4 linked regions of the Astyanax mexicanus genome follow. The protein of the gene in region 3 purifies or fractionates together with the protein of the main gene of each other region. This does not show direct contact. Links are inferred from orthologs where the notes say so. Each region holds a gene or a part of one and is shown on either strand. Other genes may lie near its edges. The genes, in order: kdr, mitochondrial chaperone BCS1, nrp1a and ubr2.

Region 1 (7,596 bases), on a different chromosome or scaffold from region 3:
GCAACGATGGCTTGCTGCCCTCTCCACATATGATTTTGGCATCCAGTATAGGCCTGGACGGGAGAATATTGATGCAGATCTTTTGTCTCGAAATGCCACCGATGATGTGGGGTGGATCTCCCCAGCCGCAGTAAAAGCTTCCTGTAAGAAGGTGAATGTTTCTGTTGACATGCCTAGCAGGTATGTAGAGCAGTTAGGAGCCTCACCTAATGCTATTCCAGAATTATATGCCTATCCCACTAGACTGGGTGTTAGTTCACTGGAGCAACTGAGTGGAGAGGACTTGAGGAGAGCACAAGAGGCTGATGCAGTCATCAGTAGGGTCCGGAATGCTGTAGATGGAGGTCTGTGGCCCCTGGGTTTCCAGAGTGACATGCCAGACATGCCCTTATTCAAACGTGAGTTCCAGAAGCTTGTGCTAAAAAATAGACTCCTGTACCGGCGAACCAACAGAGGAGGGCATGACATTTTCCAGTTAGTACTTCCCAAAGTTTACAGGGATACAGTTCTACGCTCTCTACATGATGACTTTGGCCATTTAGGAGTTGAAAGGACTACTGAATTAGTCAGAGACCGGTTTTATTGGCCCAGAATGGCATCGGACATAGTTAACTACATTAAAACATGCGGCAGGTGTGTAGCTCAAAAGACTCTGCCCCGCAGAACAGCACCATTAGGTCAGCTCTCTAGTAAAGGCCCGCTTGATTTGGTATGCATAGATTTTTTATCTGTTGAGCCAGATTCTAAAGGTATTGCTAATGTCCTTATAGTGACAGACCATTTCACCAGATACTCACAGGCTTATCCTACTCGGGATCAGAAGGCCCCTACCGTAGCCAAAGTACTGTTAGAAAAGTTCTTTGTCCACTATGGACTGCCGGCCCGTATCCATTCCGACCAAGGGCGTGACTTTGAAAGTCGCCTGATCAAGCAGCTACTTGACCTGCTGGGTATAAAAAAATCCCGGACATCTCCCTATCACCCTCAAGGGGATCCCCAGCCAGAGCGTTTCAACCGCACACTGCTGTCCATGCTGGGCACCCTGGATCCAAAATTGAAGCACAGATGGAGTCAACATGTTGCACTTATGGTGCATGCTTATAATTCCACCCGTAATGATGCTACGGGGTACTCTCCCTATTATTTAATGTTTGGTAGGGAAGCACGTTTACCTATAGATGTATGCTTTGGCACTGCTTTGGGAGGGCAAGAGGAAGCCAAGCATGAGATGTACGTGAAAAAGCTGCGTGAAGAGCTGCGTCGAGCATACCAACTGGCTGTTGAGTGTTCTAACAAGAGCCATGACAAAAACAAAAAGGCTTATGATGCCAAAGTACACAACCTTCCTATAGAGGTGGGGGACAGGGTTCTGGTCCGTGCTTTAGGGAGTACTGGGAAACAAAAGTTGAAAGATAAGTGGAATTCTGTGCCTTATACAGTGGTAGAAAAAATGCCTAACATACCTGTGTACAGAGTCAAACCTGAGAGAGGAGTAGGGGTGCCCCGAACACTTCACAGAGACCACCTTTTACCCATTGGCTGTCTGATGCGTTTACCAAATGTTTCAGATATAGCAGACTCACATTCAAGCCTTGGGGACCAACAAGCTCGGACACGTCGCCAGCAGCAAACGAGAGTCACGGAGAGCCATTTTGAAACAGAAAATGAGCAGTCTGATTTGGAAGAGGACATGCCTTATGTCAGACCTATTGAGTTCTCTGAACATTTTCCTAGTCCATCCTTACAGCCAGAGGGGCCGAGCCACGATCTTGCAAGTGAGCCTGTCGATGCAGAAGTTGCAGAACAGGAAGAACCCCCTGGGGAGCCAGACATACCTATGTCTGTAGGGGAGGAAAATGCACCCGAATCGCAATTTTGTGATGTTTCTGATACAATGGAGGTCTCAACCAGTGACCAACAGTTGTTGGAGGAACAGGAGACCGAACCAGACATGATGCCCAGTGACCCCTCTTTGGGTAAAAGAGCTGTTAAACCTGTCATTCGTCTGAGCTATGATGAGCTTGGGAGTTCATCTGACCAGCCTCTAGTTATTGTACACCGAGGGATGAGAATATATATCACGCCCCCAGTAGAACCCTCAGTTGTCCCCTGTTTTTCTGTTCGGTTGACTCTCGAATGAAACTGCCTAGTAAAATTTAAAAGTCAGATGAGGACATCAGACGTTTAGAAGGGGGAGGGTGTAGCCCAAATATAATTCAGTTCTATATTTAGTTCCATGCTTCTATGTATCTAACTACTGAAAAAAAAATGTTTTATAGGTGTTGTTGAATGGTACTGAAATATTGTAGCAGTTTGTGTAAGATTTTTAATGTAATAAGAATATATATATTTTTTCTACGTTGAATTATACAGTATTTTGAAAAGTGTTCTTACATCCCAAGCACCTTAGAGGGTTAGGGAGTCCATTTATTGGGTCATCTACCTGCCAATCTTACCTCCTTTTCCATTGATTGGTTGAAGGGGCGGGGAAATGGAGTAGCGGTGTGTGTGTGTAGGGAGAGAGAGGGAGAGAGAGAGGGACGAGGGAAAAAATACAGGAGCTCTGGATGTTTTATGGCGTTTTTGGTGTTTTGTTAAAGTTTGGGTCCAGAGTGACCCATGAGTTAAGTGAGTATGTATTTCTGAAGTGTTTTTCTTTGAGAGAGTTCGCTGTTGAACACTATTAGATGAGTTTTAACTCTGTTTATAGCTTGTAAGTTAGCCTAGCCGGCTAACCGTAACGAGATTTAACTTTAGTGACGAGCCACGCGGAGCTGCGTGTTTTCGCCGCTCAGATAGCGCCACGAGCTACCAGGATAACGCTCGTGGTTCCTCTGGGTGCCTCGTGGGAGCACTTTTACCCCGGATAGCGCCACAGGTCAGCCAGGAAGCACCTGTGGTTCCTCCGGCAACGTGGGAATTCTTCAGTTCAGTCCTGTTCAGGTAGAGGAGAGTGGCCAACTACCCGCTCTGAGTCAAGAATCTGAGTCAAGAATTTGAGTCAAGAATCTGAGTCATGAATCTGAGTCAATTCGTCAAGAGTGACTGTGAGTAAACATCTCCGTTCAGAAACAGTATCAGGCCTGCAACGTTTTTTTTATTTTATTTCTTATTTACTGCCGGCTCTTTGTATTTATTTATAAATGTATTTTTTTTTTCCCCCTCTTTTTGTTAAACAAGTATTACTAAATATGTTAATTGAGTCCACTGCATTGTCTACCTAAGTTGAAGTTATTTAGGTTATAGAAGGTTTAAAAGAAATACATCAGTTCTTTCCCTATATTGGTATTTTCAGATCTAATTACACATTAGTGTGTATAGTTTTATTTATCCCCATTTATACATTTTGTTTTTGTGCATCAATAAACTTCACTGGGAGTACTCATTGCAGCCACATATCTTTAATTACCTGTGACTAGGTCTTTTACTTCTTCAAGACATATTTACAGTTGGTAGCTAAATTTACAGGAGAGGTCTAATTAATGAACTTGGGGCCCTGTCCCTTTGGCCTGGGATGTAGGAGGGGTTACATACAGTATATTAGAAAAAAACGTGATTGAAAGTTGTCTGTTTTGCCATTGAAACCTATGGGGATGGGTGGGGTTACACAGCTTTCTGAAACCGAACAGCAGGGGGCGCCCGACCTGTGGTGGCTTCACTTTTGAGAGACGATGCTCTGTCCAGCTATACACAGTCCAAACACCCTTCAGACTGGGTGACTCGGGTGACCCGATGAATCGCTTTTTCCACTGTTATCCAGCCTCAAAGTAGCTCCACACCTCCTTGACAGAATTCAGAGAACCTTGACATTTAAAATGATGCATTAATAACTTAAAAAGTGCACAAGAAGCTTATTAAAAAACTACTGTTTACATCCTATAATGCTAGCTTCAGCTCCGCATAGCGTAGCATCTGGCGCCAAGAGGCAGGCTATGCGAAGTCTATGTATATTTATGTCTATGTAATTTTTTAGTTCAGTGATGGTGGCGCTCGGAGCTGAAGCTAGTGTTATGGGATGTAAACAGAGTTTTTTATTAAGCTTCTTTTGCACTTTTTCTTGTGGTGAACAATCCATGTGTGAAAATGATGATCTCATGCTCCCTGAACCACTCTTCTACAATTCCAGCCCCATGAATTCTGTTATTGTAATCTTGGAATATATCCTCGTCATCAGGGAAGAACAAATCCATTGATGGAATAACCTGGTCTATATTCAGTATATCCAGGTAGTCAGCTGACCTCATTCTTTCAGCACATACTGTTACTGAACCCAGACCTGAACAACTGCAACAATACCAGATCACCTGCTTGTTTTAGCCAGGCAGTGTATTTGTGCTTTGTGAACAGGAGTCTGTTGTTATTGGTAGTGAGAGTCACTAGTATCACTGTTATGAGTGCAGGTCAGTTCAGGTCTGATATCACTCACTGCTTGATAGGTTTAGGTGCTGGGGTAATTAGTGTTTGATAAGACGCATCCTGACTCCTAGACCTGATCTAAACTCCCCACAGTCCAGTTTATCACACGTTTCCAGGCTCGAGACTGAGGCTGGGTCACCGGCCCCTCCCTCTCCCCCCATCATCTCCCTCCTCACGCGCTCTGTGCTGCTCCCTCAGTGTGTGTGTGGAGCGCGCGGGTCTCCTGCAGTGCGCGGGGCATCGCTGAGTGGATTATCTCCGGGTTCCGCTACAGGACTGTGTGAGAGAGTGTGGACAGCAGTGTGTGTGAGAGAGTGTGTGTGTGAGTGTGGAGCTGTGGGTCCTGATGCGCAGCTGAGAATAGCCGTCCTGTGGGAACTTCTAAGAGGGGTTTGATGCGGGGACAGTCCGGCAGGGTGGTCGCACCATGGCAAAGCCATTTTCACTTCTCTCTCTGGTGGGCATTATTTCTGCAGTCAGCTGGGTGACAGGTAAGACCAATACAGATTTATATTAAAAAATAATAATAATAATTTATTTACCCACCAAAAGCCTAAAATCTAATAAATATAACTGCATATTGTTTTATTATGAAGCAGTGACCCGGATTTGTTTATTATGTCTTTTATGTTGTTGTCATTGGAAAAGACGTAAAAACCCTTCTTAAGTAAAAGTCCATATAAAAAGATCCAAAAAGTAATTTTTAATAATTGTTCCACTCATTATAAATATTTTACTCAAAGTAAAATACACAGCAAAACCAGTAAGTGAATAGATGTAAAAAATCTAAATAAAAAATATATCTAGATTTAAATTAATAAAAAAAACAACACTAATATCTAGATTTAAACAAAATAAAAAAACAAAAGCAACAACATATCTAGATATAAATAAATAAAAAAACAACAACAGAGTTTAAAAAAAAACTCATATGTGTTTGATGTGTGTTTAAATAGATAGAATTATAAATATAATATATAAAAATTATATATATAATTACCAAACAATAAAGTTTTATTTGAAAAGCAAGGAAAAAAACACATAGTCTATGTATTTTATGGTGAGAAAAGTGGCAAAACTAATGAAACCTTAATTAAATTTTGTTCGATATCCTTTCTCTGGTTAAATGTTAATTTTTTTATTATGTTCGAATACATTTAGTGCATCAATTTTTTTTTCAGAAATAAATAAGTGTTTAGTAGCTCTAAATATATCGCACCCACTCTTTCCTGCTTAATTGTAATCAGCTCAGGAAGGGAGGGGTATCAGACTAGTGTCTTAAAATGCTTGAGAACATCAAAATTATGTATAAAAACATACAAAATATTATATATATAAATATATATATATACATTAACATTACATTTGTAGGTTAATATAAAAATATTTAATTGTAGAAAACATAATTTCTTATGACAAGTCATCAAAGAAATAATAAAGATCAAATGCTAGTTCTGACAGACTGCTCATATTAAACGTTTGCCCTTCATCTTTTTTTCTTTCTTTTTTTTTTTTTTTTAAAACTTGTGACCATTTTGCCCAGAACCTGGTGCCATTCCCACACTGGCATTGTTGTTTGAAATGACCTCAGTGAGCAACAATTCTGAGATCAGATCTCAGCACTTCTTAAATCAAATGTTTGAATTAGTGGGGCCCTGTGGGGTGTGCTCATTGTAGCTGTGGGCCGATGTTTGTGTGCGTGTGTGTGCTGTCCCTTGCCCTGGTTCCTCTGGAGCAGGAACCCCACCTCAGGGCTTGGAGCGTGGGGCCATTTAGGCCGGCCCCGGCCCATCTGCCCCAGCTTCCTGTTTTGACACAGTCAGTTCTCTGCACTGCTGCTGTTGCTCCAGTGGAAAAATAGCCCCAGAGCTTAGACTGCACACTCCAGAATTCTCCAAGAGTGCTGGTCCTGGATCAGGTGGACTTCAGGTCTCTAGAAGAATACATGGATGGAAGCTGGTCTTAGATCAGTACTTGTGCTTTGAAATATTTCAGTTGTATGGGCCCAGAATTCTGAACCAGGCCAGTTCAAGCAGTCGGATTCACTACTGCTGTTATCAGCTATAGTCTGTATAGTTTATGGTGTATTTATGCTGCTGATACAAGGAGAAATGTGCATTAATGAGAATTATACAAAGCAAGAGTACTGAAAATAGTAAGGTTTTGGGTTCAGCTCTGCTTACAATACTTTGTATATTTAATTAATATAAAAATATACAAACCCCAAATCGAATTCCTCATGATATAAATACATGTAAAAAAGAACAGAAAATAGTATAGTTCCCAATTGTCGTAAAATGTGTGGGAGCAACACATCTCCAAAAAGTTGGGACAGGGCAACAAAAAGCTGGTCCTAATAAAAACAGCTGCAATAGGAGCAATTCATGACTAACTCCCATGAATGGGTACAAAAAGAGCATTTTAGAGAGTTAAAGACTCTTAGAAGCAAGGATGGGGAGAGGTTCACCAACCTGCAAAAAGATGCATCAACAATTTGTGAAACAATTTTAATGAAAAAGTTCCACAATGTAAAATTAAAGATATTCCTGATTATCCCAACATGTACAGTACATATCATAATTGAAAAATCTGAGAATCTGTGTGTAAGGGACAAGGGAGAGGGATCAGTATTGGATGCTGGTGATCCTAAGGTCCTCAGGTAAAACAGCATTAAAACTGGCATGATTCTCTTCTGAAAATCACTGCATGGGCTCAGGAACACCTCCAGAAACACGGTTCAGCATGCAATATACAAATGCAGGTGGAAACTGTTTGATACAAAGAAGAAGCCACTGACCTCTGACAAAAGCACTGCTGTCTTTTCTGGGTCAAAGCTCATTAAAATTGGCAAACCCGAAAACTGTTCTGTGGTCAGATGAATCAAAATAAGAAAATTTAAATTTGGTGCAGAGAAGCTTCTGGATTGTGTCACATTGTTCTATGTGTTATGAGAAATGTCGGTACAATGGATGTTCAAATTAAAAGATGATGTTACTATGGTAATGAGAAAAGATGACATGAAGCACATTAAGTAAATATCCTTCAAACTATTACCCAGATTGGCGCTACACATTAACTTTGCCAGTGTTTAATTACATTTCAACACTCACAATGTTTGTTTAACAAAATCAGTGTTGATTCAAGACTGGCAAATTTACTGTTTACTCTGTACACTAATAA
Region 2 (7,869 bases), on a different chromosome or scaffold from region 3:
CCCAAAATTAAAAATATAAAAAAATTAATTAATAAAATAAAATCTCTTTATATTGGATTCCAGTCAACATTAGATAGGGTTTGTTCTCTCCTGTAAAACCTGGTTCACACTACACAATTTTAATCTTGATTTGGTTGGAGTAAATCAACATTTGCTCTGCGCTGCCTAAGACGCTTTGTGTGAGCTGGTAAGGGATGCAATACAAATGACTGCAGATTGGTCTTTGATGCATTGCAAACTCCCAACAAATATCTAGCAGGTCTACTAGCAGGGCACTATCAATCATTTATTTACAGACAAACATTTTGAAAGAAAACATGGATCTTGCACATGGCACAACATGAGCTCTCCAAAAAATGTGATTCTGGAAAGTCATTGTGAGTTCCTCCACGTAAAAGATTGTGTACTTTATGACCCTTTGTCACTGATCATTCTTGCAGTGTGCAAATCACAACCACTACAGACAATAAGATCTGTAGTGAGAAAAGTGTCATGTAGTGTAAACCTGGCATAAGGTTTTCAATATGAACAATGTTTTTGCTGGATATAAAAAATACATATATATAGTTAAGGGTCAACTCACCTGTATGCATCAGCATGTGTCTTTTAAGGACTCTTTTGTGAGCAGTCACAAAGTTACACTCTTGGCATCTGTGAGTTTTCTCACTGGCATGAAAGTGGCCAACGTGCTGGTCATACTCAACTGGATTGAAAGTAGTAAAGGGACAGAAGCCACAGCTGAGCTTCTTGTCCCCTGCATGACCTTGTCTTCTGTGCTGCTGAAAACGGCTCTTGTTAGAGCATGTAAAGTCACACTGTGTGCAATGAAATGCCTGATGTGTTCGAAAATGCACCTCCATATCTTCCTTGCATCCAAACAAAGCATAGCATGCATGGTGACGACACTCCACAGCCTTGATTCTGTGCACATCCAACAGGTGCTTCTGAAGCAGCTTTTTCTCTGTGCATTGAAAGGAGCATCCCTGTTGAAAGCAGGGCAGAGGCTGCCCATCAAATGTCATGTGATGGGATTTCATATGGCCCTTTAACGCCTGACTTTGACTAAAGGTCTTTTGGCAGGTTGGGCATGTATACAGGTCTGTGGCATCTTTATCCTCTCCTGGATGCCCATGCACACTGATGAGATGGCGGCGCAGGGTGTTGCGTTCCACTGCACTGTACTCACACAAATGACAGCGGTGCAGCTTCTCACCAGACTCCCTTAGCATGTGGACACGAAGTTTGCTCTTGCTGGTGAAGTAGTGCTTGCAGGTGGGGCACTGCAGGCTGGGGTCAGGAAAGTGGATACGCATGTGCTCCATCAGATGAGAGCGGGTCTTAAAGCAGCGCCGGCATTCTGTACATATGTGAGTGCGAAACATGTGCTCTGTTCCCTCTTCCACGTGACCTGAATAACAATAAGAATAACAGGCAGGATTTTAAAAGTTCTTCAGTCTAGTACACCCTAAATACCTATTTAACGAAACAGAGGTTTAATGGATAGAGCAAAACAATTGATAAAATTAAAGATTAAAGAAATGAAAATAGAACTGAATTGTTTTCTCACCTTGGACTGAGTGTACAGATGTTTCCCCCTTAAGAACAGAAGCTTTATCTCTTTTACTTTCATATTTCCGTCTTTGAGGTTGAGGATTTTTAAATTTTGTTACTTTGTTTTCAGCTGAAGTATGCTTCAGAACTGTTCTCCTTTTCTCTCTTTTTGTCTTTTGAGTTCTAAATTGATATTCATCATGAACACTGTCTTGCATTGCAGATTTGTCTTGGTTACAAACTGCTAAATAAAAAAAACACAAATGTAGTTAGAAACAAAAATATTTTAGGAAACAATTACATAACGGTTTTATGTAAAAAGCCTTTGCTTTTAAACACAGCAGGATACCACTGTTGATAGTCTCATACTAACATCATGTTTACATAAAAAAAAGGTACAGTGACCAAAATGAAATGTCTGCAAAACTTTATAATGAAATTCTAATAATGTTTAACTCTGTAGCAATCAAAACTCAACATGTATCTAATGTTGAAGCTTGATGTCACAATCTTGATTGTTTTTGACAGTAATGTGACTTTGATTTCAAACCACAATTTAACACCTGTACAATGTTTGGAATTGGAATGTCTACCAGATTTTCATTGACAACTAAACTTCACTTTTCCAACATTAAAGTCCAAATCTTTCTGATATCAAACTGGTGTCCAGTGCAAGCTGGGGATGTTTATTTGCCTTAATAAGAATATTTAAATTGTAGATGACTAACCCCCGTTTTTTACAGATTTCTTATGCTTACTGTCATTGCTTAGCTCTTGTTCCTCCATCCTGCTCCAATGGTAAAAGCCCAGTTGGTAAATCCTTTGAGAAGTGAGTGAGGTGGATTAGTGCATCTTCGTATGCCTGGCTAAACCATCACCTGCCTTGGAAGGATGAAGTATCAGTAATTCACGTCTACCTCAGCTGCCCTACATATAAATAAAAGATATTCCAACTGAAAAATATTATTCAAACCTGGAAAAAAAAAACATAAAGGAAGACAAAAGATTAAATTAGCTGCATTCGAATTTCATTCAATCATTTATCAAAAACAGAAACAAACCCAGATAGCAAAATGATGTGTAATCATCCCTAATTTTCCATTGCTAGTGCAGTAAAATAATGTTGATCTTTGATGTCAGAATTATTTAATTTATGCACAATGATTTTACGTTGAGTCAACTTTGATTTAACATTGTGGTTTTATATGTATGGTTTGTATTAAGCTATATTTACATTAAATATGTATAAATTGTTTGCATTTTATTCTTATAGTCTGTACTGTGGTTTTGCAGTGTAGAAAAAGACATTCAAATAATAATTATTAACCGGGTCATGCCCTTGCTCTCTCTAGGGCAATACTAGTGAAAAGGGGAGTCCTAATAAGTGGGTTGGGTAATTGGCTATATATTATATATAATAAGTTATGATCTGTGGGAAGCACCTATACATAAACGCTGGACTTCTTTCAGTCAGTTAACCATTCAAATGCTTTAATGAAATGTTTTATGTTCATATAACTAGTTCTCACATGATTTTCTTAGAACAAATTGTTAAAATAAAAGTTATGAAATTTGTGTTGTGTAATTATAATCTTAAAATATTTAGTCATGTGGTATCAATAAGAGAAAAACATGAATGTGCTGCTTACTTACTTTATCTGATTAAATTTTGAATTTGACATCAATATTTAGAAATGGTCTGGGCTCTTATGAGTGAAATTTACAAATAGCTACATTTTAAAAACAGTTTTAACCTGAGAAATTTACTAAAAACACGCTGAAATATTGTTATTAAAATCAAAACATAATTATGACCGACTGCCTGCAGGTTTCAGAAGATTCCACTCTGAAAAACAGCGCATTTTCAGGCTAATCTAGCGCCTAAACAGTCACTCACTCTATTTAACATAATCTGCGGTTCTTAAAAGTTGAGCTTTTAACAGTGTAGCACTAATCTAACTAACACCAAAAATTCGCCCCATTATGTTTTAATTTACTCACATTAATCGCACTTGCAGTGATACAGAGTGAGAAATGTCGTGCGAGCGGCGCCCTCTGTTTTCGTTATTAGCTAGTAGTTAACCTACAAAACTAGCATAGACGACGCAGCGCTGTTGATAAAAAAATAGTAAACGCAATTTTCACATTTAGCTTGAGTGTTACATTTAAAGCACCTTTTTTTACATTTGTGTGTCACGTCTATTAACCTATTTTTTTTGTTTTTGGCTCATTTTAGCATGTAACCCGGAACTGTTTTGGTGGTCCTGGTTTCTACGGGAAAACGTTCCCCAGAACACCTACAGTGTCATTGCGCTGGCCATGTGAGACCACAGAGCTTGTAGAGAGGAGAATACCCACTTAAGAATGTCTTTCGGGCTCATATGGAGCAACTGATAGAAAAAAAATCAGGCGTTCTCTGCATATGCGAGTGCGAAAGATGTGCTTTATTCCCTCTCCCATGCAATCTACATATCAAGAAAAAAATAGGCGTGGTCTTTTTTTAATAAATCAGAGGATTGTTTACCAAATCAAAATCTAATGGAAGACTACAGTACTCTCAAAATAAATAAAAAGAACTGAAGTGCTTGCTTAGCTTGCGCTGAGTGTACATATGTTTCCCTTATAAGAACAGAAGCTTTGGGTTTTTTACTTAGATTTTTCTGTTTTTAAGGCTGAGGGTTCTGAACATCTGTTTCTTTGTTTTTAGATGAAGGATTGACATTCATCATGAACACTGTATTGTTCAGTTACAAACTGCTGAATACAAAAAAAAAAACATTAATAGGCCTTTGCTTGTAAATACAGCTGGCCACGAATGTTAATATTCACATACAAACTTTATGTTTATATAAAATACCAATAGGGACAATGACAGAAATTCAAAGTTTGCAAAAAATTATAATGAAATTCTAACACTGCTTAACCTTGAAGCAATCAAAACTTTTCTTAAAGCTTTTAAACTCTAGTAAACTCATGTTATAAGCCATTTAAACGCCACTCTTGAGGATCAGCTTACCAACCACTCTCAGTGCTTACAGTAGCAGTAATGCTAGCGGGTCTGCTGTCAAAAAATCGTTTTCTGTATAAAATGGACGTATGCAGGTAAGTTTTCTTTACTTTGTTATCGAAATAATTACTTCCACTTTCTAACTTAAAAGGAATATCCTGGAAAAGTTGTTAGTTACTCATTTTTATTAGAGTTTTAAGCCGTTTAGATTCATTCATCACCATTCATTAAAGACTAACTCGCGGGCTCCCTCTAGCGGTTTGTATTAATTTTCTGATTAACGGGGGAACTGAACAGTGGGTAGGCTCTCCATATACCAGCTCTGGTGATCCGTCCTGGCCCTATGGTCTGCTCAGTGCCTGTATGGGGACACTAAAGCACTGAAATCACTTGATTTAGCAGCAGTTATGGATTTATGTGGAAGTACTACATTACCTAAACCATGAGATGGACACGATCAAGTTATGTGTCCATACTGTTAGTTAGGTAAGTAATGCAGCTTGGGTTCTCCTTTAGACTCCATTCAATGACAGGATAGGAGAATAACTGGTAAGCTAGGCTAGCTATGTAAACCAGAGCTGGTTAATCATCATCATCTGGATATGTTCAGAGCTATTTCTGTGACTGATAGATAAATTCTGGAGATAAATGAATAGCTATATGTGTGATCTCTCTCTTGTTTTGCAGATTTCATTAAAGGAGGGACAGTTGGACTGATGGTGCTTGATTAAGGACACACTTAAGTAACTAGTGCATCCAGAAAATGACCCTTTCCGATTTCCTTGGGGCTTTGAAGGACAACCCCTACTTTGGGGCAGGCTTTGGGTTGGTTGGTGTGGGCACAGCTCTTGCAGTTGCCAGGAAGGGGGCACAGATAGGCATGATCTTCTTCAGGAGGCATTACATGATCACTTTAGAGGTTCCCAGCAAAGATAAGAGTTACCACTGGTTGTTGAGCTGGATTACCAAACATGCCAAGCATACACAGCATCTGAGTGTGGAGACTTCATACATGCAGCATGAGAGTGGACGGGTGCACACACATTTTGACTTCCACCCAAGTCCTGGAAACCACATCATTTGGTGAGACACTACATTAACGTACCTTATACAGTTCTTAAATGGAAATGGAGATTACACTGTACAGGAGTTAATTGTTGGACACAGCTTTGAGACTATCATAATTGTGGGACATCCCAGTTGCAAAAATTAATTTCATGGAGGTACCCCCGGACCTGGGCAATACTAAACTCACTATTACAAACTGTACAGCGGGCAAGACTTTAGTTGTTTTTTTTTTTTTTTTTACTTTTATGGAAAAAAATATTTTTTAGATAAGTCAGAGGAGAAATGAGTTTGGATGGGAGCCATGATGCTCCTTCTCTTACTCATTGAACGCGTCCCGTCCAGGAGGGGGAAAAAAAACATTGCCTGCCCACACTAAAAACCCTCTCTGTTTTGCATGCACTTTGTGAATGTGCACACAAGGGGAACACTTTTCTCTTTCTCTCCTTTTTTTTCACATGCGCCATTGGAAAAAAGTCTATGTCACCTGCATGTGCATTTGTGCTCACTCTTGGGCCACTCTTTCTAGATTCCAGGAGATCTTATGTGACTTCAGGAAGCTGTTCGTATTCGTAATATGCGGTAGACTCCCGCAACTTCAGGGAGACTTGGGAAGTCATGACTATATAAATATACAAAACAATAAACAAATCATAGACTTTTTTTAAAGTTGTATTTATTTAGACAATTGAATAAAGCATCAAATATGCCATTTTAGATGACACTCTTATCCAGAGTGACTTTCATGGTTATTCCTCTTACAGAGGTGGGTCAATGTAGTGTTAGGAGTCTGCCTCAGTGAGGCAGTGATCCTGCACTGACTCTTATTGGTGTAGCGCAGCATTCAGTCACCCAGAGTGGGAATTGAACCCCAATCTCCCACATGTTGTGGTAGCTCATTGGCAGGAGGTGGGGTTGTTATTCACTGCGCCATACCAACCACAAACAAGTCAACATTAAACCTCCCAATTAGTCATTTTATTAAGCCTAATTACTGAACCAGTCTAGTGGCAACAGTGAAAATAATGTGACTCTTTCAATCAGTGACCCTGTGTTTTTATGTGTTCATTGTTTGGACAAAAAAATAATTAAATATGTGCAATCACTTTACTGCAGGTATGGGCGTAAGTGGATAAGGGTGGAGAGGACCAGGGAGAAACAGATGGTGAATCTGAACACAGGAGTACCTTGGGAATCTGTCACGTTTACTGCCCTTGGCCGAAACAGGCAGATATTTTTTAATATACTGCAAGAAGGTAGGTTGATCAGCAGTCACAACATGTACCTTAGCTGCATCAAGTTTTAGAAAATCATACATTAGGATTCTAATTCATAAAAGTTGTCTATTGTTGAATAATTTTAAGAAAAATGAGAAAGTTTATGGATTTGTTTCTTGCTTGCTTGTGTAGCTCGAGAGCTGGCTCTAAAGCAGGAGGAGGGTCGGACAGTGATGTATACTGCTATGGGAGCAGAATGGAGGCCGTTTGGCTTCCCCCGCCGCCGCCGACCATTATCCTCTGTTGTCCTGGAGGCTGGGGTGGCCGAGAGGCTTGTGGATGATGTAAAGGAATTCATCAGTAATCCAAAGTGGTATACTGACAGAGGTACAGTTTAACAATCTGTGAGATATGATTCTTAAAGTTTTAAAAAATATTTCTTGTTTCAGTTTTCATTTTTGTTTGTTTGTCTTTTGTTTTAGGAATTCCATACAGAAGGGGGTATCTATTGTACGGACCTCCAGGATGTGGAAAAAGCAGCTTCATGTAAGACCAGTAAAAATGTTTTTATCTTAGTATAAATTATTCATTTTTCTACAATTACTGCAGAACATTACTGTATACAGAACATGTACTGTATAATGTCAGCATGTAATAATACATAATAAAGAGGCAAAATAATGTGCAGTATAAAATAAGAAGAAGTGGTTAAAAATGATGCAATTGTTTTAATAAAAATGAACTTTAACTTGGATTACAAGTATTTGTGTTTATAGAAGTATTGTGTATGCTTGTGTGCAGAACAGCACTGGCTGGGGAACTGGGCTACAGCATCTGTTTGATGAGTCTTAGTGATCGCAGTCTGTCAGATGACCGATTGAACCACCTGCTGAGTGTGGCTCCACAACAGAGTATCATTCTTCTGGAGGATGTAGATGCTGCTTTTGTCAGTCGGGAGCTGCGGCCCACTGAGAGTATGACCTCAGTAACTTTTATTACTGATTACACAATCTCCTATTTAGATAGATA
Region 3 (7,203 bases):
CTTTCATTTTGGAGAGGCCTGGCCAGGAAATATGACTGTTATTATATGAAGTTGCACTAGTTGTCTGGAACGCTGAAAAATAGGCTGTTAAGGGGAAAATTACAAGCAAAGCACTGATTAATAAATAAAATGAATGTTGTATGGAAGGCTTGTGCTGAATGAATTAACGTGGGCTTTGCTTTTTGGGTGGCAACTTTGCGAAATAAAAGGAAAGCCAAATTAAGAAAACCAACAGGGTGGCTCTCAGTGGCATGAAGCACTTTTGTTCACAGCTAATTATTCCACAGGAATGTATTAAAGATTACTCAGGATATGCAGGAACAAATCCTTTAAATGGGCCGCACATTGTTCCTGCACAATCACCGTCATTTCAGATATGGCTGCGGTAGACCTTGTGAAATTACTCAGCCCTATTGTTCCATATTCATATTACCCTCCAGAGACATCACTCTCCTTCCAGACCCTGATGGAAAGCCCTATACTATATTCTCTCTCTCTCTTTTGCTCTCTCTACCACTGCCTATCTTTAAAACGAGTGTAATTACCAATAGTGATTGGTCATAAACGAATGTGTTCCTTTGTTCAGGAAACATTTCATTACTGGCTAGTGACAGAGACGCTCAAATTGAAGTGCTCTTTGCAATCAAATCAAAGTAAAAGCATGTGGGGTGATCAAGTTGTCATCTGTGAAAAGTCTAAATTTGGGTTTTCACCTCTATTGAAGTCCCTTATCCCTGGTGAGTTGAGGGGTCATTGTTTTGCCCCCTTTAAGTGTGTTTTTCACTCTCAGAGAGAGGGACATCTGCCCCTTCTAGTTATAAATTGAAAACAGCCCTTTGACAAACAGAGGAAACAGAGGAAGATCTGATCATCATATCTTTTGAAGTCTTCAGACACGTCCCTGAAGAGCACATGCTGAATGCTGACTACAGCTTTTGTATTTCCTGGGTGCAGAAACACAAAGGTCAGCGACATGAACTCGCCACATATTGAGACAGTAACAGATAACCTGAGGGGTCAGCTAGTCCAGTGAAACATCAACCACAAACCAGAAACTGTCTTTCTTCAAGAAAAACATGGATAAGCACTTAGGACTTAGGACTGGCTATCAACAATCAAGCTTACTGAAGGAGACATTTGAAAGAAATAAGGCTTTTGTTTGTTACTCTGCAATAAATGTGACAAATTTAACCTCTTAAATTCTGCAAAACCACAGCTTTTTTATCATCAGCCAGTTTGTAATGCTGGATGTGTTGTGTAATAAAATCATGGAGCATAAGGGGTTAAATCTGTCATTGAAGAAACATCTGCTTGATTCATTCATTCATTCATTCATTCATGCATTAAACTGAATGAATGAATGAATGAATAATTGATAATGTACTAAATAAATAAAGAGCATCATTGCATATTAATAAATAAACAGGAACCATAAATAATTAAATTGGGGACAGAGTTTAGATATGTTTCCAAATATTTTCCTGAACAGTACCTTTCAAGGAAAGTCTATGTAAATAAACTGTATTTTGTATCATTTTGTAGGATTTTTATTTTTTAGTTCATTATAAAGCAAAAAAGGAAAAAGATAGTTTTATACACTGAAATGCCAATTGTTATGAGACAGTAACTAGAATTTTGTCCCATGGTTTGCCATGTCCCATAGAAGCTCTCTCACTTTTATAATCATTCACAAATAAAATTGTAGATGTTTTTACTCCACACCTTAAGAGTTCATGGTTAAAAACTACATGATGCAGCATGTCTCTGTGTGTGTATGTATATGACTACTCAGCCTTAATGAGGTCCACCACTGTTTAACCTCATTCACCTTATAGCACACTGAGCATGTGTCCTGCATTTATTCCCATTCTCGGTTCCTCTACATAGATCATGGCTGCCTTTCACATTAGTCAGTCAGTCCTCTGTACTTTACTCTCCATTACTGTACTTCTATCCTGTAATTAGACCTGCTCTCTTGGAGTTCTTGTTGTGATATCTGGTGTTGATCAGTGAAGGGTATGTTCTACTCTTGAGTCTTGCTTGGCCCCTTTGAGGGTTGTTCCTCCTGCTCTGAGGGAGTTCTTCTGTAACTGTTGCCTTTGCCTTGCCAAATGAGGCTGGATGAGACCAGGTTTAAAAGCCCTTCTAAAAATACTATTATTATAAGTATTATAAGAGAGGCATATGTAAGAGAAGAACCATTAACTAGTTAAAACATTCATGCATTCAAATGCTCTTTGATTTGTCATTTAAATAAATAAATATGTGGACAGAAGGAGAATTTGTTGTTGTTTTCTCTGTATTTCAGCCTATTTGAAATGAAATAACATCTAAAATTTCTGTCACTGTCACACAAACAAATGTGTACACAGAAAATAGCAACTTCACAAGAAAGGCACTTAACTTTCAAAGGAAGTGATCCGTGTCCTTCTGTAGCATTTTTATTGGTTTTATTGTTCTATAGGTCTAAAATATATGTTGGGACAGAAAAAAATATATATAAAAAAGGATAAGAATTAGGACATGAAGCGCAGGAACATGTTTTCAATAGCAAGTTGAAAACTTGACCAATTTTAGAAGCTTATTAACCCTTTCCCAAAAACTTTGTATATTCAAAATGTTAACTTTACAGGAGAAGGGAAAAAACTGTGTAAAAATGATTTTTTTTGTTTTCAACTTTTCCATTGGCCCTTTTCTAAAAAAAAAAAAAAAAAAACTGCAAAGAACATAAAAAATAACTTCCAGATAACAACCCATATTATATTTTGTATCGTATTATATTCATGCTGGTAACAAATTTTGATATAATGTGAATTTAAAACTGCCAGTTGTTTTAAGCATTTGTTTTTATTGAAATAAATGTATTTTCTTCTTCTAAAAATGCAGTTTACAAGGTTTTTTGCATGGCCTTAACAATGTTTACTGACTGTTACAGTATTGATAGAAATGATGGGCTTTATATAAAACTGTCATGTTGTTTACTGGGTTGCAGGAAGGAGTCCAGGCAGTGCTAACTGACTGTCCACTAGAGTAGTACTCCACCTGGAGGAGGGACCGTCTCTCTTATTTTTTTTCTCTCTCTCTCTCTCTCTCTCTCTCTCTCTCTCTCTCTCCTCCATCCTCCACTCTCTCTGCTGGCTGTGAGCGGTTTGGTGATGATGAACTGTGCTGCTCTGGCTGCTGTTGCTGTCTTTCACTTAAGAAAGGTAAAATCCCCCTTAAATCACCTTTGCATACATTACCTGTAGGTAACTTACACTAACTATATAGCCTACACTAAACACACACACGCATATGAACCGTTATAACACTAACACTAACACTGTTATGTGGTCTGTAAGTGGAATATTAAAATGCACAGTCCAGGTAAGATCAGGCATGCATGAGGGTGCTTCTTTGCTATCTCAGTGGTATTGAGATGTTGTCCACATTGATTTGTCAGTCTCAGCTCATTGCTCTGAGGACAGTTAGCAAATGCAGGTCTGAATTCTGACCAGTGCACATCATTCCTGCTTCTGTATTATTCCTGCTGCATCCTGAACAGCAGAAGCAGGAGCTGCATGCCTCAGCCCTTTTAAATGTTGGGGTTTTTTTTCATCATACGTTTGTTTTTTTTTTCAAACTTTTCACGTTTAAACACGTGCATATAAATAAACTCCTTTCAGTGAATAGCTGAGACTGGATAGCGAGCTCTCGCGCATAGAGAGACGAGCCTCACACTGGCTCAGCTCTGCCTTGCTGTTTTCTCCACACTGGAGATCCTGAAGGCCACGCCCACCGCGCTGCGATTGGCTAGGCGTATTTCATTTGCTTAGCTGCGATTGGCTGATTGTAATCCCTCCTGTTGGGCGGGTTGATTTCGAACATAAACGACTAACCAATTGCATTGACTGTGTTTAGCCATTTACAGCATTGGTGGGCGTGGCTTGGGAGATGTGGGTGGGGCGAGACATCCTAGTGCCCGCCTAGCTACCGGACAACAGATGTGATAACAGATCGTGTGAACTGAGTTTTAGAAGCAAGCTTTGATAATAATAATAATAATAATAATAATAATAATAATAATAATAATAATAATAATAATAATTTTAGTTTTTTTTCACTCATATTCTGTGAGCACGTTTATATTCTTAGTATCAATAGTAAGCAGATCTCTCTCTCTGTTTATTCTCTAGGTCTCTCTCTCACTCTCTCTCTCTCCTCCTGGGCTGGGCAGAGCCCACCAGCGAGCCTCTACTGCTGGATGTGTCTGAAGTTAATAAAGAGTGAGCGACCGTGGGAAGACACACCTGGCACAGCTCACTCACGCGCTGGAGGAGTGTGTAGGGAGAGTGTGGTTTGTGTGTGTGTGTGTGTGAGAGAGAAGAGAGAGAGAGAGAGAGAGAGAGAGAGAGAGAGAGCGTGCATTAGAGGAACGCTCCTCACGCGGAGTTTTTTTTGGATTATACAGCCTTCCTTCACCACAGCAGCAGCAGCAACAGCAGAGCACCACGACCCCCATCAGCAACAGCAGCATCAGCAGCTGGACCCCGAGACACTCTGGACATCACTGGATTTACACACTGGATCCAGAGGCAGGTGAGGATTGATTTATTGGCACGGGGTGGACAGAGCAGCGGCGCGTGGGTATGTGTCTGTGTTGACATTTGGCGGTGTTTGTCTCTGGTGTGACTGAGTGGGAGTGGATGTAGTAGGCTCGTGTCACATCACGAGACCGCCTGTTTTATATTACAGTCTACTGTATTTCAGTCTCAGACCTCAAACCTGCAGTCTGACTCCTGCTAGACTGCTGGCTACGCGCGTGCATGATAAAGCGCAAGAGACACGCGCGCGCGCACACACACCACACAAACACACGGGCCGGTTCCATTCAGTAGTTTCAGTTTCCCTAGTGAAGCAGTGTGTGTACTGTAGGTTCTACAGCGCTACAGCAGCAGTGTGCTACCCCTCAGGTGTGTGTGTATGGTCTGTCATCTGACGGTTTAAAAGTAGGCAACAATAGCCCAGAGAGAGAGAGAGAGAGAGAGAGAGAGAGGTTTAGCGAGAAAGCACAATTGAAAACACATAGAGGAGAGAGAGATGGAAAGAGAGTGGGAATGAGAACATTTAAAGAAGAAAGATAAACAGAAGACAGAGAGAGAGAAGGAGCTAGAGGGATAACAGAAAAAAGATGTAAACATAAGATAGAGTCAGAGAGATGGAGATTGAGACATTAAGAGAAGTAAATAAGAGAAAGACAGAGATAACGAGAAAGAAAGCTTAATGGGGATAGAGAACAAATAAAAGACTATAACAGATATAACACAAATAAACAGAAAAGAGACTGAGCGAGATATACTAAAAGAAAAATTGAAAAGCAAAGAGAGAGAGAGAGTTAGAAAAAAAGCAAGCACACAGAAGAGAGATAAACAGAGACATATGGTGAGAAATAGAAAAATGAATTAGATAAAAGGAAACAGAGAAACAGAAAGAGATAAACCGAGAAAGTAGAGACATGAACAGAAAAGAGATTGAGAGTGAGATATTATAAGAGAAATAGTAGAGCAAGAGACAGAGAGTTATAAAAGACGCAAGCACATAGAAGAGAGAGAGATAAACAGAGAAGCAGAAAGAGATGAGAAATGAACAGAAGAGAGAGGAAGTGAGATACTGGAAGAGAAATAGAAGAGAAAGTGTGAGCGTTATAATAGAAGAACGCACACTGAAAAGAGAGATAAACAGAGAAATAGGATGAGAAATAGGCATAAAAATAAATATTAGATTGTGGAAAAAATGAGAAAACTGAGAAATTGAGAGAAACGAGTGAGAAACTAGTAAACTAAGAGAGAGAATGTCAATATCCCTATACCTCTCTCTGTGCCAGCAGTAGTTGTGTGTGTGTGAGGGGGTGTCTCCCTGTTTAAGTCTGTGTGTTGGATTGTCTGCGGTGTGTGTGTGTGTGCGCGCGCGCGCGCGGCAGCTCCTTCCTCTGCTGTCACACTCCGAGTCTTAAACAGCGCTCACTCACACACACACACTCATTCTGCAGCCAGAGCGCGAGCGCGCAGGAGCTCCATCTCTCTCTCTCTCTCTCTCTCTCTTAGATACACACATACACACCCTCTGTTCTCACTCTCTGTTAGACACACACTCACTGTGTGTGTGACTCCGGCTCGCGCTCACTGTGCTCGGTGTCTTCTTTATTGTGGACGAGGATTAAAGTTCTGCACGCGATACTTATTATCTCTCTCTTTGTGTGTGTGTGTGTATCCTTTCTGTCTGTCTGTGTGTGTGTGTACCAGGCTGTGTATGCATGCGCGTGCGATTGAGTGTGTGTGAGAGAGAGCGTGTGTATGGGTGCGTGGTGAGCGCGTGAGGGACATGGCAGCCCCGGAGCTGGAGCGAGGAGCTGGGCTGGATGAGGCGCGCGGAGAAAGGAGCTGAGCGGCGGGATGAGCAGGGAATGACAGAGACCTGAACACAACAGCAACACTATCTATCTCTTTGTGACACGAGCTTGATTTCTGATCCAGAATCCGGGAATATTGATCTCTGAGGATTTTCTATTTTTCCTGATTTTTTTTTGGTGTGGGACATTTTCTGGTTCTGGTCCAGTTTTGAATCGCCCGGACCGAGGATGCGTTGTTGTGGATTAGCGCTGGTGGGCTTACTGGGAGTGTTGGAGATCGTGAGGGCTTTCAAAAACGGTAAGTTTTCTTTATACCTGCTTCCAAACCATTGTTTTTCGTTATATTAGGTGTAGCGCATAGCGCACAGTGTGTATCTGTGGGTTACTGAAGGTGGGGAATGCTCAGGTTAGCTCCTGGTCACCTGCTCGTCCAGGATCCAGGATCCCCGTGCGCTGTATAAAGCCCTAAAATAGCAGCCCATAATCTAAACCTGTCCGTAGCCCCTTGCCTGGAAGAGCAGGTGAGCCCATATTTTATATTTCTTCATTATTAGATCTTAAAACATCAATATGTGCGCAAAAGCTTGTAATATTGCTCTCCAGTTTAAGATGGGAAACGCTTTCCCTTAATTTCAATGTCCAAACCTGATTTCTACCACTTTTCCATATTTAAATGAATCAGGAAATAGGCCTTTATTCTACTCAACTTGTATAATGATTAGACTAACCACCATGCATCAAGGCGACTTGGAATATAGTCTCCTGTAAAGTTTACATATCTTACAAGAAAATAACATATTGATTTGTTCTTTTTG
Region 4 (7,922 bases), on a different chromosome or scaffold from region 3:
TGGAAGATTAGAACGGTGAAGTGATGTCTTCCTCACTTCCTTTTACATATTAAGTGAATGGCTTGGCAAATTCAGCAAAAAGATTTTTACTTACCCCAAATAATAAATCTCTCACATTTGTGCTTATTATGTTTACAGCTGCTGCTGATGTTCCGAGCACATCTTCAACAACTACAGGATTGTAGAGAATGGACGAGTGAACTATGTTTGCTTTTAAATATGAGAAATAAGGAGTCTTCCTTAAACCAGACTGATGTGTGTGGTACAAATCCAACCACATTTGGATAATGGTTGAATACTGGTACAGATGGTATTCTGGTCATGTATTTGAATGCAGTGCTGATTCTGTGGTGAATTGCCTGGTGTAAAAGTGAGGACTGTCTAATATGAATGCCCCACTGCTCTTCAAATGTCTTCCTCAGTTTAGAAAATCAATGTCCAAGACATTTCCGGGACATTTTTCATAACTTCCATAGACAACAACCTACTGTATGTACACTAATGGCACCTGTCGTACACCTTCCCCTGCTGTGTTCCGATGCTCGTTGCTATCTTGCAAGTGTTGAAGTTTAGAAATATATCTACACTGATGGGCGTGCTAATTTGAAAGTGACGCCTGTTCAGGAAAATATCTGTTGTGTTTCTATCTTGGCGGCGGGAAATACAGGTGCGCCACTGACTGATTAAAACCCTGACAACAGTCAACACTCATCCGTCCAATCCTGTCTTAGCCATGCAGGAGTGCTGTTCACGCTCAGCTTGTGTACATCCCTGCTCCTTACACACACACAAATAAACTAGCTACAGTGCACAAATCAACAATAAACAGAATAAAGAATAAAATAACATTGCTGTTCCCAAAAATAAGCTGCTGGCGTACCTTCACAGTGTGAATGTGCCCTTACAATACCAAAGACACAATGACACGCTTTTAATTGACCCATGCACTATAGATTGCTAGTATAAGACCCTAAGTGTAGGTGGCCTATTAAAAGACTCTCAATGTAAGAGTTTAATTGAATTTAAAATTTAACAACTAGAACTGTGTAATAATCCTTTCCATAAAGAAACATAAAAAACTTTGTGTTTTTCCAAATGTTTCAAAGGTTTCAGAACTGCTCTTGTAGGTGGGACGTTAGTTAGTTTGGAAGTTTATTATGGCTATATAGAAATCAGGTCAAAGTCAAGTTGTGGGATCTATATTCATGAACACATTGAATATAATCGTATTGTATTATATAAGTGATGTGTAATAACATGCAAACAATTGTTGCTTCTGTCAACAGCTTGGGAGGCAATTCCATAAAGTTAAAATCAAGAAAATCAAGAAAACATTAAAAAGTTGCTAAAACAGCTAGCAAAAATAGCTGACTGATTGTGTGAGGCACCTGTGTGTTAGACCTATTGATAAACTGTAAACAAAACAAAATTTCTATGAATAAAAAGTATTTCTTTTTAAAAAGAAACATGTTAAGACATGATGGTGGTACATGAACCTGTACATGACATTTGTAGCAATATTTAATTTAATAAAAATGGTTTTATAGCAAAAAAAAAAGCTCAACTTTTCTTGAACATTTGTAACACTTTTCTTACTTTTCTTAGTTTTCCTGGCTGAAAAATATAGTCTATTTATTTATGTTTTTTTTTTTTTACTGATTTTGGAAGACATCTTGTTGGTCATGTTAGAATCTGGACTTAAAGTCACTAAAGTTGGGGTTTCTGCACATTTTAGTGGTTTTATTGTCTTTACCTTCAAAACAACAAGCTTGTTAATGCGATGATTAGCTAGATTGGGTATATTGGAAGCAAGGTAAACATAAAAAGTGTGCAGCACAGCAGATTTAGCTGCTTTTTTGGTACCAGCAACCAGACTTAGAGAGAACACAACAGACCATGGCTGATGTATCAGAGTTGGGAATTTAGCACTTTCCTCTGAGAGGGTGCCTAGTGACGCAGGATTGAAAAGAGGTAGTGGCTGAATTCACATGCATCAAAGCAAGCTTCCCTCCAGGACTATAAAAAGACTGAAGAAAAAGTCACCACCAAAAAAAAGGTCACACACTCTAATATTTAGGAACACTTTTAGCTTTGATTGCAAGATGCATTCACTGTGACATTGTTTCAGTAAGCTTCTGCAATGTCACAAGATTTATTTCAATCCAGAGTTGCACTAATATTTCACCAAGATCTTGCAGCAGCATTGATGATGGTAGAGTCTGACCGCTGCACAAAGTCTTCTCCAGCACATCCCAAATATTTTCAATGAGGTTAAGATCTGAATTCTGTGGTGAACAATCCATTATGCTCCTTGAATCACTCTTTCACAATTCCAGCCTCATGAATCCTGGCATTGTCATCTTGGCATATGCCCATGCCGTCAGGGAAGAACAAATCCATTAATGGAATAACCTGGTCTGTATTCAGTATATTCAGGTAGTCAGCTGATCTCATTTTTTCAGCACATACTGTTGCTGAACCTAAACCTGCAGACCAACTGCAGCATCACCAGATCATTTGCTTAGTTAAATCCAGGTGGAGACTTTTTTTTGGCCAGACAGTGTACGTCAGAGCTTTTTGGTAAAACTACATTTACATTTTGCTACAATTTGGTTGAAAGTGAAAGGTAGTAAAAAGACGTCTTTCTTTAGTATAAAAGACATTTATGTAAGGTTGGAATTTCTATGTATAGAAATAAGTTATTTTTAACTTTAACTTTCATCCAAAATGTAACTTTTTTTTTTAATGAATTTTTTTGGACAGTTTGTTTCTGAACTAAAGTAGCGGGTGTAAATGTGGGCAGAACCAAAGAAGCAATTTTTGGTCTGAAGAAAAAAGTAGTTTGCCTGCAGTCTGAAATACTTTTCTAGATAGATTGGACTTTCGGGGGCAATTACAGAAAGTAGAAGAAGTCTTTAAACAAACCAGAGGGAAAAAATAATTGGTGTTGTGCCAAAATCTGACTCTCCTTGCATCACACCGCAGTATGGACCTAAACATTTAGACTGGAAATTCATTTATTTACTATAACAGTAGATTTAACCTTATTTCTAAACAGAAATAAAAGAAATCTGAGGATAATCTTTTACACTCATTTTACACACATGCTGCGGGGGTGCAGGTATGAGAAGGGGAGTCGGATTCTAACAGAGAGCTAGAATTCGTCACAACACCTGGCAGATTAACGCACCAAACTCATAACTAACATTCTACAAACCAATCAATATGAAGTATAAAAAGACTCCATCCCGTAGCTGCTGATGACGGAACGTAGTAAAGTTCTTTATTCCGCTCAGTCACTAAACTGCAGTATAAAACCAAAACTAACCGGACTAAATGTACACATTTTAACACATGACCCTTAGTACGGATTCTGGTCAGGACCTTCAGGTTTAAAAAAACGGCCTTAGAAAAGTGAAAAACAGCCACACTAAAGGTCCAATCCTGTTTTTCTTTTGCACCTCTTCCCCTTAGAAAAAGGTTACAAAAGAAAGGGGACAAATCCTCCCCCTAAGAATTGGGACAACCTTTCAAGAACCTATAAGCAATCCTGCCGGGCTGATGAATAGTAGTAAAGTTCAGCCACAGCTGCTGGTTAGTTAGTAAATTTTAGGGAATGTCTTCAGAAAGAGGGCCTGTCTTAATTCATCTGTGAGGGGAACTGAAATTAGCTTTTTTTCTTCCTCCATTGTCTGTTGCACCATTAAGGGTGGAATGGGAAGGTTTGCTCGCTAGTTAGCTATTGAGACAAACTACTAGCGAAACTACTAGGAAAATATTCAAATTTCTGGATTTCTTTGGTCGCTTCTGCCATCATCTTGCCAATAATTCTTATAACCCTTTGTTTTGTGTTTTAAAATATCAGTTTAAAGGGTCATGTAAGCTTAACACTTACCCCTAGCCCTCCAGCCTAACAAGATTTGGGACACCGTATCCTACCAAAACTGAGGGAAAAGGCTAAGTGGTAGGGCCAAGGGGTGAAATGGGATTGGGCCCAAACCAAGCACTGAACAAAACACAGGCAAATTTCCCTCATACAGGGTAAACAATCCAGATAAAAAAAATATAACATTTGTCTCATAAATAACACTGCTTATAGCTGCTTAGCTAAAATTGATGGATTCATTAAATGTTTATGACCTAATTATTAGCTATTATTAGTATTTGTTTAATTTAGCATATAGCTAACCAAAGAGTTTGGCATTATTTCTATCACTTAGCCCTCAAAACAGATGATTTTACCAAATTGAAACCCTCTGGTACATAATCAAGAGGAAGATGGATGATCACTTTAACCATCAAACAAAGCTAAACAGGAGTGGAATAAAGTTATCCAAAAGCAGTGTATAAGACTGGAGGAGGAGAACATGCCAGGATGAATGAAAACTGTGCTTAAATACCAGGGTTATTCCACCAAATATTGATTTCTTTATGAATATTAACTTGTTTTCTTTGCGTTATTTGAGGTCTGAAAGCTCTGATTTTTTTATTGTATTTTCAGCCAGAATAAAACCAAAATGTGCATTTTACACAAATCAAATAAACTGATTGAGAAACTACATCAGTGGTGTCTTAATTTTTTTCCAGAGCTATATATATCTATATCTGTTTGGTTGTCCCAATTCTAAGGGGAGGATTGTTACAAGCTAGGTGTATCAGGTTCTTAAAGGGTTATTTATAGATGATTTTACTCTCGAAAATAAGGGGTAGGGATACACAAGAGAAATGGGATAGAGCCTATGTGAGGGTTTATGTTGTGTAGGCCAACATCATATTACATATTAATTTAGGACTCAGGACGCAGTGCTTAGTTGTGTGTCAACAAAGAAGAAACAGCAGACCATTATGTTGGGTGTTATTATTTGTCAGCTAAGAAAAGTTGACCCGTTTCTTTTCGGAAGTTGGGCGAACGGCTGATTTCCGTTTCCTTTGCCCGAGCTCCAGCAGTGAAGTGTGAAGATGGCGGCGGCTGAAACTGATCGTGAAGTCCCGTCCGCTCTCTGCAGCGAATTTCTTCAATTCTCAGCGAAGGACACCGCTGCGGTAGGGGACAGTTTTATAAAATAGATGCTAAACTGCTGTATTTTTGGACGGGGTGTGGGAGAAAAGCGGTTATTCCTTTTTCCGCGGTGACTGAGGCGTTTTTTTCCACTCGGGTTGTTTTCCTCAGAATAGCAGCCGCTGTCGCTAAGCTAACGCTAACACAGGGTTAGCTATAGCTACAGCTACAGCCTCTACAGAAGCTTTACTGGCTTTCTTGGTGAATAACTGGCTAGATAAGTAGCTAGCTAACAAACTAAACAGCAACAGCCACTTAATTGTGGGTTGGCAGTGCAGTTAGCTACGTATTTAAGTGTTTAATATTTAACTGTTTTTATTTTTGAGACCCGTACGTTAGCTAAATGTAGTGTTGTTTTGTAGCTAATGGTGAGGGTGTTTTTATTTGGTTGTTTTCGTCCAGCATTGCAAACTGCCTTAGGTTTAGGTTATATATTAAAAAGCTACATATTATTAGACTGTTACAGTAGCTTACATAGCTAAAACTTGCTAAGTTTACTATCTTCCCTACACAAAGATGCAAAAGTGACCAATAAAAACTCAAATAGAATAAATATGAACAAATAGACAGCAATATAACCGAGTTAGTTAACTAGGTTATGTAGTTAGGTTCGCTGATAGCTAATCTAACTACTTACAAGAAGAATTTAACCAAAAACAGCCCCTCGTTACATAAATAGTTCGGTTATCTATAAGTCACAGACCCTTTAAAAGATGTGTAAAGATCCTTAATGCATTCTGTCCGTCATTTTAACTTAAAAAAACTAACTAACTAGCTAACTAGCAAATTCCCTAAGTGACACATGTTGCTGATCTTATTTAACTACAGGATGTAGGATTGATGGGTTAGTGCTGCAGATAAAACTATATCCTTTTAAAATATTGTTTTTAGCTTCCACAGCTCAATTCAAATGCTTTAATGAAATGTTTTAACTACCGTCCATATAATTAGTTTGTATACATTTTCTAAAACACCCTGGTACAAGTAGCTAGTATTTGCAACACAGTAAGGCAAATTTCACCCTCAGTTGTGACTGAATGGCTGAAAACAGTTGTTCTTTTAATTGTGTCAGAATGTCATAATGAATGGGCCAAATGTCCTTACAAAAATCCTTTTTACACTGATTTCCTTAAAAATAATTTTAGTAATAGAACACGCTGTTACTTAGACCTGAGTAAAATTAGTACACACTGCTACTACTGTTAAAATGATTCTTACATCAGGGATTTGACCTTAACATGTTTACAGTTGTGCTATTTTTAGTACATTAAGAGAAAAAAAATTAGTATCAATATTCAGAACTGTGTCGGTGCTCTTATGGGTTGATTATGTAATGAGGGTTACAATATAATAAACTAGAGTAGGGTAGGTAGCTAAAAGCTAAAATGCTTTAAATGTATACATAGGGCCGCAACCAATGATTATTTTGGTAGTCGACAAATCTGACGATTATTTTTTTGATTAGTCGATTAGTCAACAATTCTTTTTCCTATGTCCTCCATCTATAAAAAAATGATCGAAAAAGGTAAACATGAGATTTAAAAAGCATGTAAACAATCAGATGTTGTTTAAACATGGAAAGTACTGATTATTTAGTGAGTAAATATGTAATCTGTTGTTTTTGGGCACTTTTGGAGACACAGACTAAGTTGAGTGTAAACTGTGTGAGTGAGTCATTTACCCATCTCCCAATGCGCTTCTGTCCCCAGCACTTTGTGTAATGCAGTACTGTTAGAAATTAACGATTAGTCGACAATGAAATTTGTAGTTGACAAATTTAAATAATCGACATTGTTGACTATATCGACTAGCCTAATCATTGCAGCCCTTCTATCGAAATCTGTCATAATAATCCCTTTTCTCCTAGACGTTATTGCTATGAATGAAATGTTCTGATCAGAATTGTCCAGGATGTTTAGCTATGTTTACATGTTGCTTAGAGCTGCACAGTCTTCCACATACCTTCCAGGTTTAAAAGAGAAAAATGAAAAACTTTTGCTGTGGTCTAAGAAAGGTTCCCATGCACTTTTGTAATTCAGATTTGTTTACTGTTTGGCACCAGATAGACTATTGTATATCTAGCTGACAATGTTGTCTGTCCAGGACCTTCATCTACAGCTTGTTCAAAATAATGACCAGAATTTACTAACTACTAATACTGGGTGAGTTCAGAAGTTCTGTAGTTGGAAGATTCAGTGATGGTTGTTTGTATGTGGCAGTACAGGTGTTGGTCACTTTGGCATGTTGGCTGTTATCAGGAGGCAGAAACACAGCATGTATACTGTAGTCTTCTATTGTCTGCAGTACAGCTTAACCTCTAAAGCAATCTGTATTGGAACTTTTAGCTATCATACTGTGTCATGGCAGAAAATGGCACATGAAAACAAATCTCAGAAATGAAAAGAGGACCAACTGTAGGCTTTGTGAGTCTAATCCAGGTTAGTAGGTCAGAAAGTGCCAAGTTCCATTTACCCATGTAATCCCTTTGCGCATGTAATGCCTTTGCCACGGAAATGAAATCTAAGTAGTTAAGTAAACCCTCTAAAATGTAATGAACAATATGCTATTATGTGATGTATACATTATTTACTGGACAATTACCAACAGAACTCTGTCTGTGTATGTCATGTGTATGTCTATGGTGTTACCAAATTAGCGGCCACTAGTTCTGAGAGAATGAGTGCTTATATCTAGAGTTCAGAAGTTTAAACCGACAGTATGATCTGAATTTAGTTCCTAGATCACCCCTGTTGGTCCTAAGTTTTTATGTAGGATGAACCTGACTTTCTTCACTGCATTAAGTGGGTCTGTGTGCTCTAAGAGTGTCGCTCCAAGGAGTGAAACACTTCTAACCCTGTGCCAA

What was found.
Region 1: the proteins of nrp1a (region 3) and kdr purify together in Homo sapiens (affinity purification with western blotting; 7 studies listed by BioGRID and IntAct, with this or other methods). This does not show direct contact. The link is inferred for Astyanax mexicanus from reciprocal best matches to the Homo sapiens genes NRP1 and KDR.
Region 2: the proteins of nrp1a (region 3) and mitochondrial chaperone BCS1 purify together in Homo sapiens (affinity purification with mass spectrometry; 3 studies listed by BioGRID and IntAct, counting the BioPlex papers as one, with this or other methods). This does not show direct contact. The link is inferred for Astyanax mexicanus from reciprocal best matches to the Homo sapiens genes NRP1 and BCS1L.
Region 4: the proteins of nrp1a (region 3) and ubr2 purify together in Homo sapiens (affinity purification with mass spectrometry; 3 studies listed by BioGRID and IntAct, counting the BioPlex papers as one, with this or other methods). This does not show direct contact. The link is inferred for Astyanax mexicanus from reciprocal best matches to the Homo sapiens genes NRP1 and UBR2.

The regions. Positions count from the first base shown.
Region 1 is NC_064408.1:64,162,317-64,169,912, forward strand, and holds the start of kdr (vascular endothelial growth factor receptor 2), read left to right. Parts: upstream 1-4,586; 5' UTR 4,587-4,843; coding exon 4,844-4,907; intron 4,908-7,596. UniProt on the Homo sapiens protein: Tyrosine-protein kinase that acts as a cell-surface receptor for VEGFA, VEGFC and VEGFD. Plays an essential role in the regulation of angiogenesis, vascular development, vascular permeability, and embryonic hematopoiesis.
Region 2 is NC_064418.1:38,080,809-38,088,677, reverse strand, and holds the start of mitochondrial chaperone BCS1, read left to right. Parts: upstream 1-4,867; 5' UTR 4,868-5,044; intron 5,045-5,245; 5' UTR 5,246-5,321; coding exon 5,322-5,641; intron 5,642-6,739; coding exon 6,740-6,879; intron 6,880-7,032; coding exon 7,033-7,227; intron 7,228-7,322; coding exon 7,323-7,386; intron 7,387-7,641; coding exon 7,642-7,814; intron 7,815-7,869. Other genes in the region: znf142 (zinc finger protein 142), read right to left, coding at 584-1,408, 1,568-1,795, 2,310-2,337. UniProt on the Homo sapiens protein: Chaperone necessary for the incorporation of Rieske iron-sulfur protein UQCRFS1 into the mitochondrial respiratory chain complex III.
Region 3 is NC_064413.1:44,998,576-45,005,778, reverse strand, and holds the start of nrp1a (neuropilin-1a), read left to right. Parts: upstream 1-4,175; 5' UTR 4,176-4,578; intron 4,579-6,013; exon of another isoform or gene 6,014-6,281; 5' UTR 6,282-6,616; coding exon 6,617-6,686; intron 6,687-7,203. UniProt on the Homo sapiens protein: Cell-surface receptor involved in the development of the cardiovascular system, in angiogenesis, in the formation of certain neuronal circuits and in organogenesis outside the nervous system. Mediates the chemorepulsant activity of semaphorins.
Region 4 is NC_064414.1:19,519,087-19,527,008, forward strand, and holds the start of ubr2 (E3 ubiquitin-protein ligase UBR2), read left to right. Parts: upstream 1-4,910; 5' UTR 4,911-4,959; coding exon 4,960-5,043; intron 5,044-7,922. Other genes in the region: si:ch73-193i2.2 (transient receptor potential cation channel subfamily V member 6), read left to right, coding at 139-185. UniProt on the Homo sapiens protein: E3 ubiquitin-protein ligase which is a component of the N-end rule pathway.